2 linked regions of the Rattus norvegicus genome follow. The protein of the gene in region 1 interacts with the protein of each later gene in a pairwise test. Links are inferred from orthologs where the notes say so. Each region holds a gene or a part of one and is shown on either strand. Other genes may lie near its edges.

Region 1 (5,799 bases):
TAGCAAAGGAAAGCCTACCCCAACTAAGGTCCCAAATAGATGCAAAGATCAAACATTTAGGCCAGTTAAAAAATTTGATGATCTGGACTTGGAGAGCTGCTGCCCCACCCCCATGCTTCCTGTGGCTTCTGCTATAGACTGGATCATCCACAACTGCCTGTCCTCTGTGAGTCAAGAGAGCTGTATAGAGTGGAGCAGGACTGCCACTGGTGGTCTTGGGGACTCAGGGCCAGCCACCAGGACACCAGACTTGCCTAGAGTGGTCTTGCTTGTGGGGTAGGGAGAGCTTAGGTCAAGGTGAACTGAAGCTGGTCAGGTTCTAAATAGATGAGCTGGTATTCACCCTCTATACACAATCCCCTTCTTAAAGGCCAGCAGTCTGCAATTCCCCCAACCTGAGCTGGTCTATTTCTATGCTGGTTTTAGCATTTACCTGCCGTCCACCATGGCAAAGATCCCCAGTCCATCCTGTCGACTGCCTGAGTAGGTGCTCAGCATGGGTCTCGCTGCAGTAGAAGACTCCTTACTTGGGTCTTCTACATCCACCTCACTGGCCAACACAGCCTAGCTTCTGCTCGCCAACAAGGGTGAGCCAAAAGCCTGCCGCAGAAGTGGGGCTGCTGCTGTATCATCCTACCCACACCCGGGCCCCACCTTGTTCCCTGCCCCCAGCACACTCCTCCTAGATCAGGTCCTCCACCCAGCCTGCCAGCCCTTCGTTGGACCTCTGTCTTAGAAGGCAAGTTTCACAAAAGCTGAGCTGTTCATCTTGTGTTCAGTTGGCATCCCTGATAGTTTGTAGTGCATGCTGAGCAATCACCAGTGATAGGAAAACTGAAGGCCATTCTCTGCCAACTAATGGGCACCCAGAACAGCTCCAGTCTGAGCTGGCTAAACAGTACTTCCAGTCTTTTGTCAATACCTGGCAAGGGCTGTAAGTCACCATGGTGAGGGTGGCTAGATCTTAGCTGACTCTTTGGGTCTTTTACCTCAGGGTGCACCTAACAGATCAGGTGTGGTGACACACGGTCTATAACCCCAGCACTTGGAAGGTTCAAGGTCATCCCTGGCCACATATCAAGTTCAAGGTCAACCTGGGCTATGGGAAACCCTGTTTAGAGCATTGCCAGGGTGGACATGTGACATTACATAGAAGTGGAACAGCTGTAGTTCTCACGCACAAAGAACATCTGCCAAGTGAAGGTTAGTCATTGTCTCCAAGGGCCTCCACCAGTTTCTGCCCCGCTGTCACTCAGGCCCTTCCTCCCCCCACCATATCCTTGTGCTGGATTAAGCTGCCCCTGGGCCAAATGGAATAATGTTGAGGGTGATGGTAGGCTTTTTACCTCGCCTTGGGAGGATCTGTAGTAACAAACTGAAGGGTTGGAGTGGGGCTTGCCACCTGTCACAGGAAATAGTAGCTGTATCCCTTAAGCCTAAGAGAAACCTAATCCTCTTTGTGTTCAAGGACTGTACCTTATCTAGGTACTTACACAGCAGGTATCTGGCACAAGGCCAGTATGAACAGGTGCAATTCTGGGCTGGCCCTCACTAACCCAGAGCCCCCTCCCTCCAGCTAGTCTTTACCTGTCTCACTACCTGAACAGCTCAACTCATCCAGGTAGCTATCGTATTCAACCCAGACCTTGTGCAGTCTATTAGAAAGAATGACACAGAAAACTTCCATGGCTACTTTCACTACAAAATAATTTATTACAGCAAACACAGCATCACAAGACTATGTACAAGCACAAAGCACCTGACTACCCTATTAAGGAACTCTCTTCTTCCCCCTTGCCTTACGGACCTCTTCTATCAGGTCTTTTAGATACTGAATCTCTTTGGCGAGAGAATCTGCCTTCTCTTTCAGAGCCTCGTTCTTCTTTTCTAGCTCTTTACACTCGCCAGTGAGGGCTTCCTGCTCAGCCCTCTTCTTCTGGCGGTACCTAGTAGCTGCTGTCTTGTTTTGCTCCATCTTTTTCAGCTTCTTATCCAACTTTTCAGTCTTCACTTTAGCTGTCACACTAACTCCAGGTGGGTCATAAGGTTTGGGTCGAGAACCACGAGGAACACCTGGAGAAGGCAGACTGTCTGGTGGGGCCCTGGAGGTGGAAGGGCTGTGTTGGGGAGAGCCCAGGTAGGACTCAGGGCTCATACAGATGCCACTGTCACTATCAGAGGGAGTGTCTTCCTCCTTTACACACTGAGGGGTTAGAGTAATATAAGCAGCAGAGTCAGGCTTCCTATCTCCTTCAGAGATATCAACCTCACTTCCCAGCTCTAAACTAAAGGAATGATCTGGAGTGGAAGACAGAAACCCTGGGGAACAGGGAAGAGGCTGCAAGAATGTAAAGGGGGCAGCCTGGTCGACTTTTATTACACTTTCTGGGAGATGGCCAATTGGGTTCACTGTCTGAGGGGGCTCCTTATTAGTCTCTTGGACTAGAGGGGCAAAAAGATCACATGTGTCATCCAACGTGGCCAAAAGCTCATCTGGCATGGTTTCCAGGTCATCCATTCGAAACAGAGCATCGAAGTCAAACTCTTTCAGGTCCATTTTCTCCAACATCCAATCTGTCCCGGAAAAGGCATCCTCTGGGGAAAAAAATTTCAGGAGAGAACGGTTCATACTAGAGGCAGAAAACCTTTAGAACACCAAACCCACATGAAAAGAGCACACTGGTGCAGGTGTCCTCCCTACTCACCCTTGCCGGTGTCTGAGGCACTGACCAACCCATCCATAGCCAGCCATTCTGAGGAGCCCGCCTTGTCGCTGGAGAACCCATGAGGTTTGAAGTGCTTGGCCACCTCCAGATAGTCATCTAAGAGACCTAGGCTTTCTTCAGCCCCCAAACCCGACTGGTCGAAGGGGGACATTAAGTCCCCCGCCAACACTTCGCTGTTCAGGAAGCTCATCTCGGTCATGTTGTAGGGATTTGCTGGTATCGAGGAATGTGCTTAACTCGAAGGTATCTTTGTCCGTTACAGCAACGCTGCTGCTGGGTTTCGTGAAGAGCCTGCATAAGGATCCAAAAGCAAGTTCAATCATCTTTCTATCTAGGATGCTGGATGACAAAATCCCAAAAGCTTCTAAATGGAGAGCACGTGGGCTCAAGGCCATTGTGTAAGCTTCCCCAGCCGCCAGCTCGGGTTGCACAAGATGGAGGCTTAGCTTTGCTTCACCGGCCACCCGGAGGAAGCAGCTTGTCCTCAAGTCCTAATACGGCCAAGGCCGTCGCGCCCCGCCCCCGTGACTCACACCCCCCCCCCGCCCCACCGCCATCTTGGCCTCGCCACGTTCGCAGAATGACACCGGGAACCCGGGGGGGCGCGAGACGACTAAGTTAAGAGAGGACGAAGAGGAAGTAGCAGGGTTTTAGGCACTACTCCCTCCACGCCGCCTGCCCAACCCTCCCCGTGTGCGCCGGCGTTGCGGGGCCACCCAAACAAGGCCGACGCGTCTGGCCGCTTGTAAAGCCGCGTATGCTGGTCAACGCGCCCAGGCCGCACCCAAACACAGCAAAGCACACGCCCGCGCAGTCGGCCCAATACTCACGCCATGGCTTAAGCCGGTGGGGGTTGCCGCTGCAGAGCCTGGTGCTGCTGCCGCCGCTGCAAAGGCCAACGCTGCCGCAGGCTCTGCTGCCTCTAATACGCCATGGTGGCCGCAAGCCCTGCGGGAGGGGAAGAGGAAAGGAACAGCGTACAGAGAGACATCTACCACAGAGCAAGCAGAAATGGCGGCGACACGCCCTAAACCCGCCTTTTATAGAATCGGTGAGGGACGCAGTACACCCCGTATCCTCCCACCGTGGTCACGTGATCCCGCCGCCGCTCCACCTAACCCTATCCCATTGACGCTCTGGCCCGTCCAAACCCTTCTCCGCTGTGCTCGGGGAGTAACTGGGGCGTTACAGAGTATCCTGAAGGCCCCATGAAGGAAGAAAAGTGCACTACTTTATAGGTTTGCGACCAACTGAAGTCACGTTCCGGAGTGCGGAGGGATCGCTCGTTACGGAACTTCCGGTGTCTTACAGGGCGTGGAGAGACACCTAACCAAAGCTATGACGGTCAAAGCCAAAGCTGCCTGGTTATCACGCGAGACGCCGTAGGAGCGCGCGTCGAGCTGATTGGCCCAGGCGTGACGAGTCATCTAAACCTTAAGTTTCTATTGGCTCTGAACCTGGGCGCCCTAGGAGCACTAATATCGGGAAGAGCCACCAGAGGTTCCGGGTACCAGACTCTTACAGCTACCGACTCATCAGAGGTCACCCCAATGTAGTTGCTCTCTCCGGCATCGCTCCCGGGCAGCTTTGGTCCAGCACGGAGCAAACAGCTTTCCAGGAGTGACACTTGGGCTGAAAGCCCTCTTTCCCTGTATTTGTTGTTCTCAGAACCAAATGGGCAGAGCTTTAGGCATATAGAAAGGTCCTCTGGAGTTACCTGGTCCAATCCTGTCAGTCCAGGGACCGCACTTTGAGACAGGGCGTTCATGTTGGGGCCTTATTGGGAGATACTCCGGTTCCTCCAGCCCTGCATCTTTCCTCTGAATCCTGTACTGGGAAAATATACCTAACCTTAGATCTAACCTACTCTAAAATATGCCCATCACTGCTGGTTTGTATAGGGTCAGTTCCCTTAATATTGTGTTTTATTCAGTTGGATCTCAAGCCCTAGAGTAGTTCTGATTAACTCCCAAGTCTTAACTTCCTGGTATAGCCTTACCAAGAAGTCATCCTGGTGAGTGAGCAGCTGCTTAAGTGGTTGGAAGCCCCAAGTACTGGTCAAGGACAACTCACCATAAAGGATGCTGTTTTGGAAGTGCTGAGAGGCCCTCTTCCCAACTCCAGCCTGCAATCTTTTGAGTTTCCACGTCTTTTTAAGTGACTCATACAAATACCACTCAATTGGCACAGTGCCCGCCCCTTACTGCTCAGTAATTATTTGCAAGCCAAGTACTCCAGTACACACAATCCTAGCACTCGGGCACCATGGTTCAAGGTCATCCTTGATTACATGGTTATTGATTGCTATTTATTAATTCAAACCTAATTCCCAAGTCCCTCTCTCCCTAACTCCATGATTCATCTTCCTTCCTCAGAGGACCTTTCATTATTATTTACTGAGACTAAAGCAACTAAATAAATAACGCACAAGGCCTACATAATGAGATGTTTCTATCGACAAAGAAGTCATGAGTACATGTGCACACAAACAGAAGTTTCCTAGTCTCTCCATGCAAAGGATAACTATGTCCTCCCTTTGCTCTGGAAACAGAAACAGGAGCCACAGTTATATTGTTAAGTAGACATCCCTTACATGTTTCTGTCCCCTAAGTGTAATGTATCCTACAAATGTTTTTTAACTTATGCTGAATTTGTAACCCCGTGATGTATTTGCTAAACTCCTGAACCTGTGATACATGACTGCCTCTTGCTATACAAAACTGTGTCTCCCCAGAAACCTTCCACATGGCACAAGCTTGCACTTCTTTTTATGGCCGCCTTTCTAACAGCTAATTATCCTGACAGCTGTTTCCTATCACATGCTTCTACCCCACAGGCAGTCTTGAGTCCCCCACTCTTCTGTTCAGGTGCTAACAGCCAATTATCCCAACAGCTGTTTTCTATCAACCCTAATGTTTTCCCATAAAAGGGACCTCCAACACCAGTGAGGGGCTGCTTGGCTGGCCAGTCTAAATAAAGTTTGCTTAACCAAACAGTCAAGGAAATGTTTTTTTTTCTCAGCTCTAACCAAAGGCTCCTGAACATACAGGTTGGTCATACAGAGGTTTAAAAC
Region 2 (5,916 bases), about 49 Mb from region 1:
GGATGGGGAGATGGCTACCACCAAAGCCCAGCAGTCTGGGTTTAATACTGCCAGATTCAACTCTCAATGTCCAGATGATCACATACACACCATGGCCAGCAGACAAACCCCAAACAAATAAATGTAATTTAAGAACTAAATCAGTAAATGTCAATATTATTTAGTTATCTCTACTATTTTGTTTCAAGCTTTTAATTTGCATGTGTATACATGATCAGTGTTTGGGGCCAGAGGCTTTGGCTCTCCTGGAACTGGAGTTCCAGGCTATGTGAACCACCTGATGTGGCTGCAGGAAGCCTGATTTAGGTACAGCAGGAAGCAGCAAGCATGCATAACTGATAAGCTTTCTCTCCAGACTCTATTGCCAGTCTTCTTTTGTTGTTTGAGACAGGGTCTCTCTGTGTAGCCCTGCCTGTCCTAGAACTCATGCTGGCCTCAAACTCAAAGAGATCAACTCCCAAGTGCTGGGACTAAAGGTGTGCATCACTATACCTGACAGAACCTACCCTTTATTCAGAGGGATTTACTACAGATAACTTCAGGATCCTCTCAAGTTCTGAGATACAGGAATGAGCCACTGTGCCTGGCTATGCATACATATTACAGGATTACAGTAAAAGTATTCAACTCACTTGGGAACACTACTGGTAATTTCTAGGGGCAATTACCAAGCTATTTGTACTCCTTTTTTCTTGTGTGGGAAGCTTGAACTAAAGGTCCTTTGGGGTTAATCTTGGTGTGGACTGAGAATTGGGAAAACAAACCAGTTGCCATTTTTGAGGCTGACTTTGAGACAAGCCAGCTCTAAAACAACATTATGGGATCAGAGAAAGACATGGTCTGACAGCAAAAGCTGGTTCTGGTCAAGGCCTGGTCTAACTCTCATCCCAGCAAAGCAAGTTGAGCAGCATTAGGAGCTGACTGGGAGGGTGGCTAAGATTACCTGCTTTCAGGTGTGGTGGTGTATGAAGATGCACTTCCTTCTGGAACACTGTGGAGAAAGGGGAAGAAACAGGTCCTTTACCTCTAGCCTCTTACTGGTCTTTCTCTAGCTGGTTTCTTAATTTCTGTCATTGGATTTTGAGACAGTTTCTCTGTGAAGCCCGGGGCATCCTGGAATTCTGGAACTCAACTCTGTAGACCAGGCCACAGAGAGGCTCGTGTGTGTGTGTGTGTGTGTGTGTGTGTGTGTGTGTGTGTGTGTGTGTGTCCCTGAAGCCAAGGACAGGCATGCTTAACTTTATTTTTAGTTGCTGACATTTGTAGTCCTGATTACATAATAGCAAAGTCCTGGCCAACTAAGTTTTCTCTAAATCCAGATAGACCTCAGATCTGCCAAAGTGAGAACTAAAATACAGGGAAGAGAGATTTCAGCAGTATTTGCTTAAACTCCATTCCCATCCTAGCCTCCAGACCTGCCCTGGGATCTCCATCTCTTTTGGTTGTTGAGCAGGCATTCAGCTTACACAAAAGGCCTTTCCTACCAAGGGGGTACAGTTCTTACTAAATGGCAACTATAGGTGCCTAAAGCCAAACATTTGGTATCCTTAATTCCTCCCTTCTCAGATACCACAGCTCAGTCTAAAGCACTGGCAACTTCAATATTCTTTAGAAGTACCCAAAACCTAAATATTTCTCACTTTTTCTCATTATTTCCAGATGTAAACTTACCATGCATTATGCATTTCATTCCCTAGATTATTTTTGGAAGCCTTGAAATCTTTTTTTTTTTTTTTTTTTTTTTTTTTTTAGACAGGGTCTTGCTGTGTAGCTTTTGCTGTCCTGGAACTTACTTTGTAGACTAGCTGGCTTTGAACTCTGATCTACCTACCTTTCAAGTGCTGGGGTTAAAGGCATTTGCCATTATTTCCAGCTAAGATCTCCTGTTTCTATTCTTGTCTTTTTTATTTTCATGGCTGCGGGTTGACCTAGGGCCCTCTACATACTAGGCAAGCAGTCTACTATTGAGCTACACACTCAACCCTTTGTTTTTGTATTTATTTTGAGTTAGGATCTGACTATGCTGGCCTGGAGCTCAGAGCTCTGCCTGCTCCTACCTCTTTGAGTGTTGGAATTAAATGCATGGGGTCTTTCCCCAACCCTTTTAATTTAGGACATTCCTCTGCTCAGATCCCCCAATGGATTCCTGTTTCAGGACTGTTGAAAGACTAGCATCCTGAGAATGCTTGCAAGGCTCTACAGGACCTGCTACTTGAGTTTCCATTCACCACCCTCTCCTGCTTACTCTAGTCCAGCTCACTGCCCTGCTCCTAAGGATACTGGCACACTCATCTCAACCCTTCTGCTCCTTCTCTCCCTTCTATAAACCTCTTCCACATTACCTGCTTGGCTCACAGGCTTGCCTTCTTTCCATCTCACCCACCCACTGAGGCAATTCCTGAATGATAAAACCTCTAGCCACCATCCTGAACTATTTTTTCCCTGCTTCTGTTTTTCCCCCCTTTTGCTTTACATTGAAATGTAAGTTTTATTGAGAACAGTTTCGTCTTTTGCTTCTAATATACCCTGGATCCCCAAATGCTTGGCACATAGTGGGTGCTTATTAGGCATTTGTTAGGAACGAATAGAGAACAACTAAGCCCACTGAGCCCAAAGGCAGAGCTGAGCTGCCTGTCTCTGGGGACTGCAGACGCAATATTGCCCTGAGTGTTTCTCTGCAGGGTTGTCCTCTAGGGAAAACTCCTTGGTCTTCCAGTGTGTGGGACCTGGCTTTCATCAGCAGAGGAGCCCCAGGCCTGAGGGTGCAGAGACAAACAGTGGGCTGGCCTGATGCAACGGTTACAGAGATTAGTTGGGAGACAGGACTGAGGAAAGAAGCAGAGATCAGTCCTAAGAGAAGCAGAAGACCCTGGAGAGATCCCAAGTAATTTCCCATAGTTAAAGAGACCCAGGCTGCTCTCTTGTACGGAAACCCAGAAACCTCTGGGGAAAAGGGAAAAACCCATCTATGCTCCTCCCACCGGCACCCCCACTCGCAAAGATCTGTCAGTCTTTGAGTTGTCTTGAACGTTAGAGACAGCTACTAAAGTGGCCATGTTGGTGGTCCCTGAGGCGCTTCAGCTTGAAAGAGTTGGGGGGAATGAGGCTGGTGGAGAAGAGGTGCTAACAGCCGGAGTCCCCAACATTGGGGGGTGTGTCCTGTTGCCCCACCTTTCCTGCGAACCGCCTAGGCCTAAGATGGCCCGCAAATGGTCAGTACTGAGACAAATTTCCGAAGGCAACCGGAGTCCCTTTGCAGAGCAGGGACCAACCTGAGACAAGGGAACGGGAATGCAATCGCCCAAAGAGGTGGCCTGTAAGCACCATTCCCGAATCAGGAATTACCCGCCTTCACTCGCCCCTCAGTCTACAAACTCACAGTGGAAGGGGTGGGGCTACACCCTCAAGGACAGTTGCCTCTAACTTTGTGGAATAGCTATGTTGGCGAGGATGGGAAAGTAAGGGGTAGACGGAGTCAGTACTCGCCTCTCTCCTCAGGTTCCGGCTGTTATTTTGGCTCTGTCGCTGCCACCCGCTCATCTTCAACATGGTATGATCGACGTATTAGACTCAAGATACTGACCTCTGGAGCGGAGAGCGAGTATCTTTTATGCTATTCGGTCCCTCCTGGGGGGGGGTAGTGTCCAGGAGCCTACCAATCAGAAAGCGGCACGCTGGCACAGGCTCCGCCTCACCCCTCACGTCCGCCACTCAGGAGTCCCGTGGCCCCGCCTCCATCGCGCCCTCTGGCTCGAGAGTCTACGTTATCTCGGACCCGGAAGTGGCTTTGGGTCACGAGGCTTCGCAGAGGAGGTGAGTGAGTCATGCGCGCGCGCGGAGGAGAGTGCGGCGAGGGAGGGGATGACGTGGGGGGGGCGGAGGGGGAGCGGGGATGATGCAATGTTTGGCAACCGGTGTCCGCGCGCGCACGCGCAGGAGACGTCGATGGTGGTGGGAGGTGCTGGGGAGCGGGCGGGAGGGGGGGATGGGGGAGAGAGGAAAGAAGGCGGAGCGCCAGCTCACAGTGTCCAACGGCCCCAACGGCTGTCCTTCCTGAACTTGTCTGCCCACCTCCCATCACCTTTAACTTACTCCTCCATAAAAGACTCATTTTCCCTGGCCCCTCCCAACTAATGGGCACCGAGGCTCTTGAACCTCTTTAAAGTTTCCAATTTGTTCACCTGGATTGACATCTTCTGGAGTCTTTTAAGAGACCTCCTCCTCTTTTAGCCTTCTAACGCTTCCCAAAGACTGAGGTACTGGCATTTCCTTGGTAGTCCATCCGCTTCTCTCAGAAGGGCAGCTTTAACGTTTGTTTCAGAATCGTCCACTGCGTGCCAGAATTCAAGTTCTTTGTAGAGTGTAGCCTCCTGCCTACTTATCCTACCCCTGCTTTGTGTGATGCTCTTATGCCCTTCACTAAGCCCAATACCCACCCTTTTCCTTCTCCAAGATAGCAAGTCCTGTGACTCCCTGCTGATTAGCTGGCCTCATGCCTCTAGGTGTCTGGGTTCACGACCTAGAGACTGGGACGTGCATGCACTTGAGCGCATGATTGCCTGGACTGGGTCATTCTAGTTTAATTTGCCCAAGGAATCTACCGTACTCAGTTGTAAATTAAAGAATGATAGGTAAAGGTAAAAACAGCACTGTGAAGAAAACTTGAGTAAAAGTAAAAACATCTTGCAAAACCTATTTTTTGTGCCATGAAAACAGAGGCCATGTGGTGGCCTATTACATAGTCTGTCGTACACTCGGGAGGGGCAAGCCAGAGTTTGTCTAAGTAGAAACTGAACCAAGACCGGTTGCTATTGGATGGTGCGACAGTGACAGGTCCTTGGCCAGACTGCTCCTTCGCTCCAGACCTTCATTTCCCCTTCTGTTAGTAGAGGTTGGGGGTGGGCTGAACCAGATGGTCTCTCCTGGCCTAAAGACAGACCAGGTTGTCAGTGACAGGCAGAGGTCATGTGACTTGACAGGCTGAGGTCGTGTTGTGACATGTTGACCTGGAGAGGCGGGTCAAGTCTCTGCACACTACCCGGGAAGCCTTTGGGGCGGGGCAGGGCAAGTCGCGACTTTCATCTTTTAGGGCTGGCCCCTCCCGGACCTGACATTCCTGACTCCCCCAACAGATTGTGGCTTCGGAAGGGGCCCCTCCCGAGGGAGGATTGGGATTGGCCACCAGTGGCCTGGGAAGAGGCCCAGATCCTTCCGCGGAGGACGGGGGGGGGCCGCGTGGGGTGTTTGTTCTCTTGGGGATTAATGGGGGGTTGTGGGGGAGGGGTAGGCGCGCTCCCGCATGCGCACTGCGTCCCCTCCTGTTGGCTCGCTGCTGTCCGCTGGGCGGGGGCCCGGCCCCGCCCCTCTCCCGTCCGGGCAGCGGCGGCGGCGGCGGCGGCTGCGGCGGTGGCGGCGGCAGCGACGGCGGCGGCGGTAGCAGTCTGCGCGGTGCCTTCTGGGAACGGAATCCCCAGGGCTGCCCCTGGCCCCTATGGCGCATGCGCGGGAGGCCGCTCGGTGATCCGCGGCGGCGGCGGCGGCGGCGCTTCCTGCTAAGACCGGCCGGGGCCGTACCGGAGGCTCGGGCTCCACCGACCCACCTCCCACCCCCTCCCACTCACCCTCTGGGCCGCGACTGCGCAGGGCGGGGCCAGCCGAACCATGGGCCGCGGTGAGTGCGGGGCCCGGCCCCCCCGCCCCTCCCCCTCCCTTCTCTCTCCTCCCCTTCTGTCCCTACCCTCTGCCCCCTCCGCGTCCTTTCGGCCCCTTTTCCCGGCCCCATCCACAGCCCCGCACCCTCACCTGCCCCGCCGTTTCTCCCCCTCAGTGCCTGACTTCTGCCTTCCTGACCTCCCTCCCTTCAGTGCTTCGCCCACCCTCCACCCGCCCTCTCCCCAAGTTCCTTCCTACTTCGTG

The links. The genes of interacting proteins can lie anywhere in the genome.
Region 2: the proteins of Atf4 (region 1) and Ddit3 interact in binary tests that used the Homo sapiens proteins (3 or more experiments, as listed by UniProt). The link is inferred for Rattus norvegicus from reciprocal best matches to the Homo sapiens genes ATF4 and DDIT3.

What each region holds. Positions count from the first base shown.
Region 1 is NC_086025.1:113,682,622-113,688,420, reverse strand, and holds Atf4 (cyclic AMP-dependent transcription factor ATF-4), read right to left. Parts: upstream 3,741-5,799; 5' UTR 3,557-3,740; intron 3,018-3,556; 5' UTR 2,926-3,017; coding exon 2,706-2,925; intron 2,631-2,705; coding exon of another isoform or gene 2,596-2,630; coding exon 1,772-2,595; 3' UTR 1,682-1,771; downstream 1-1,681. UniProt on the Homo sapiens protein: Transcription factor that binds the cAMP response element (CRE) (consensus: 5'-GTGACGT[AC][AG]-3') and displays two biological functions, as regulator of metabolic and redox processes under normal cellular conditions, and as master transcription factor during integrated stress response (ISR).
Region 2 is NC_086025.1:64,999,363-65,005,278, reverse strand, and holds the start of Ddit3 (DNA damage-inducible transcript 3 protein), read right to left. Parts: upstream 3,585-5,916; 5' UTR 3,550-3,584; coding exon of another isoform or gene 3,487-3,549; intron 992-3,486; coding exon of another isoform or gene 950-991; 5' UTR 944-949; intron 1-943. Other genes in the region: uncharacterized LOC128125814 homolog, read right to left, coding at 950-991, 3,487-3,549. UniProt on the Homo sapiens protein: Multifunctional transcription factor in endoplasmic reticulum (ER) stress response. Plays an essential role in the response to a wide variety of cell stresses and induces cell cycle arrest and apoptosis in response to ER stress.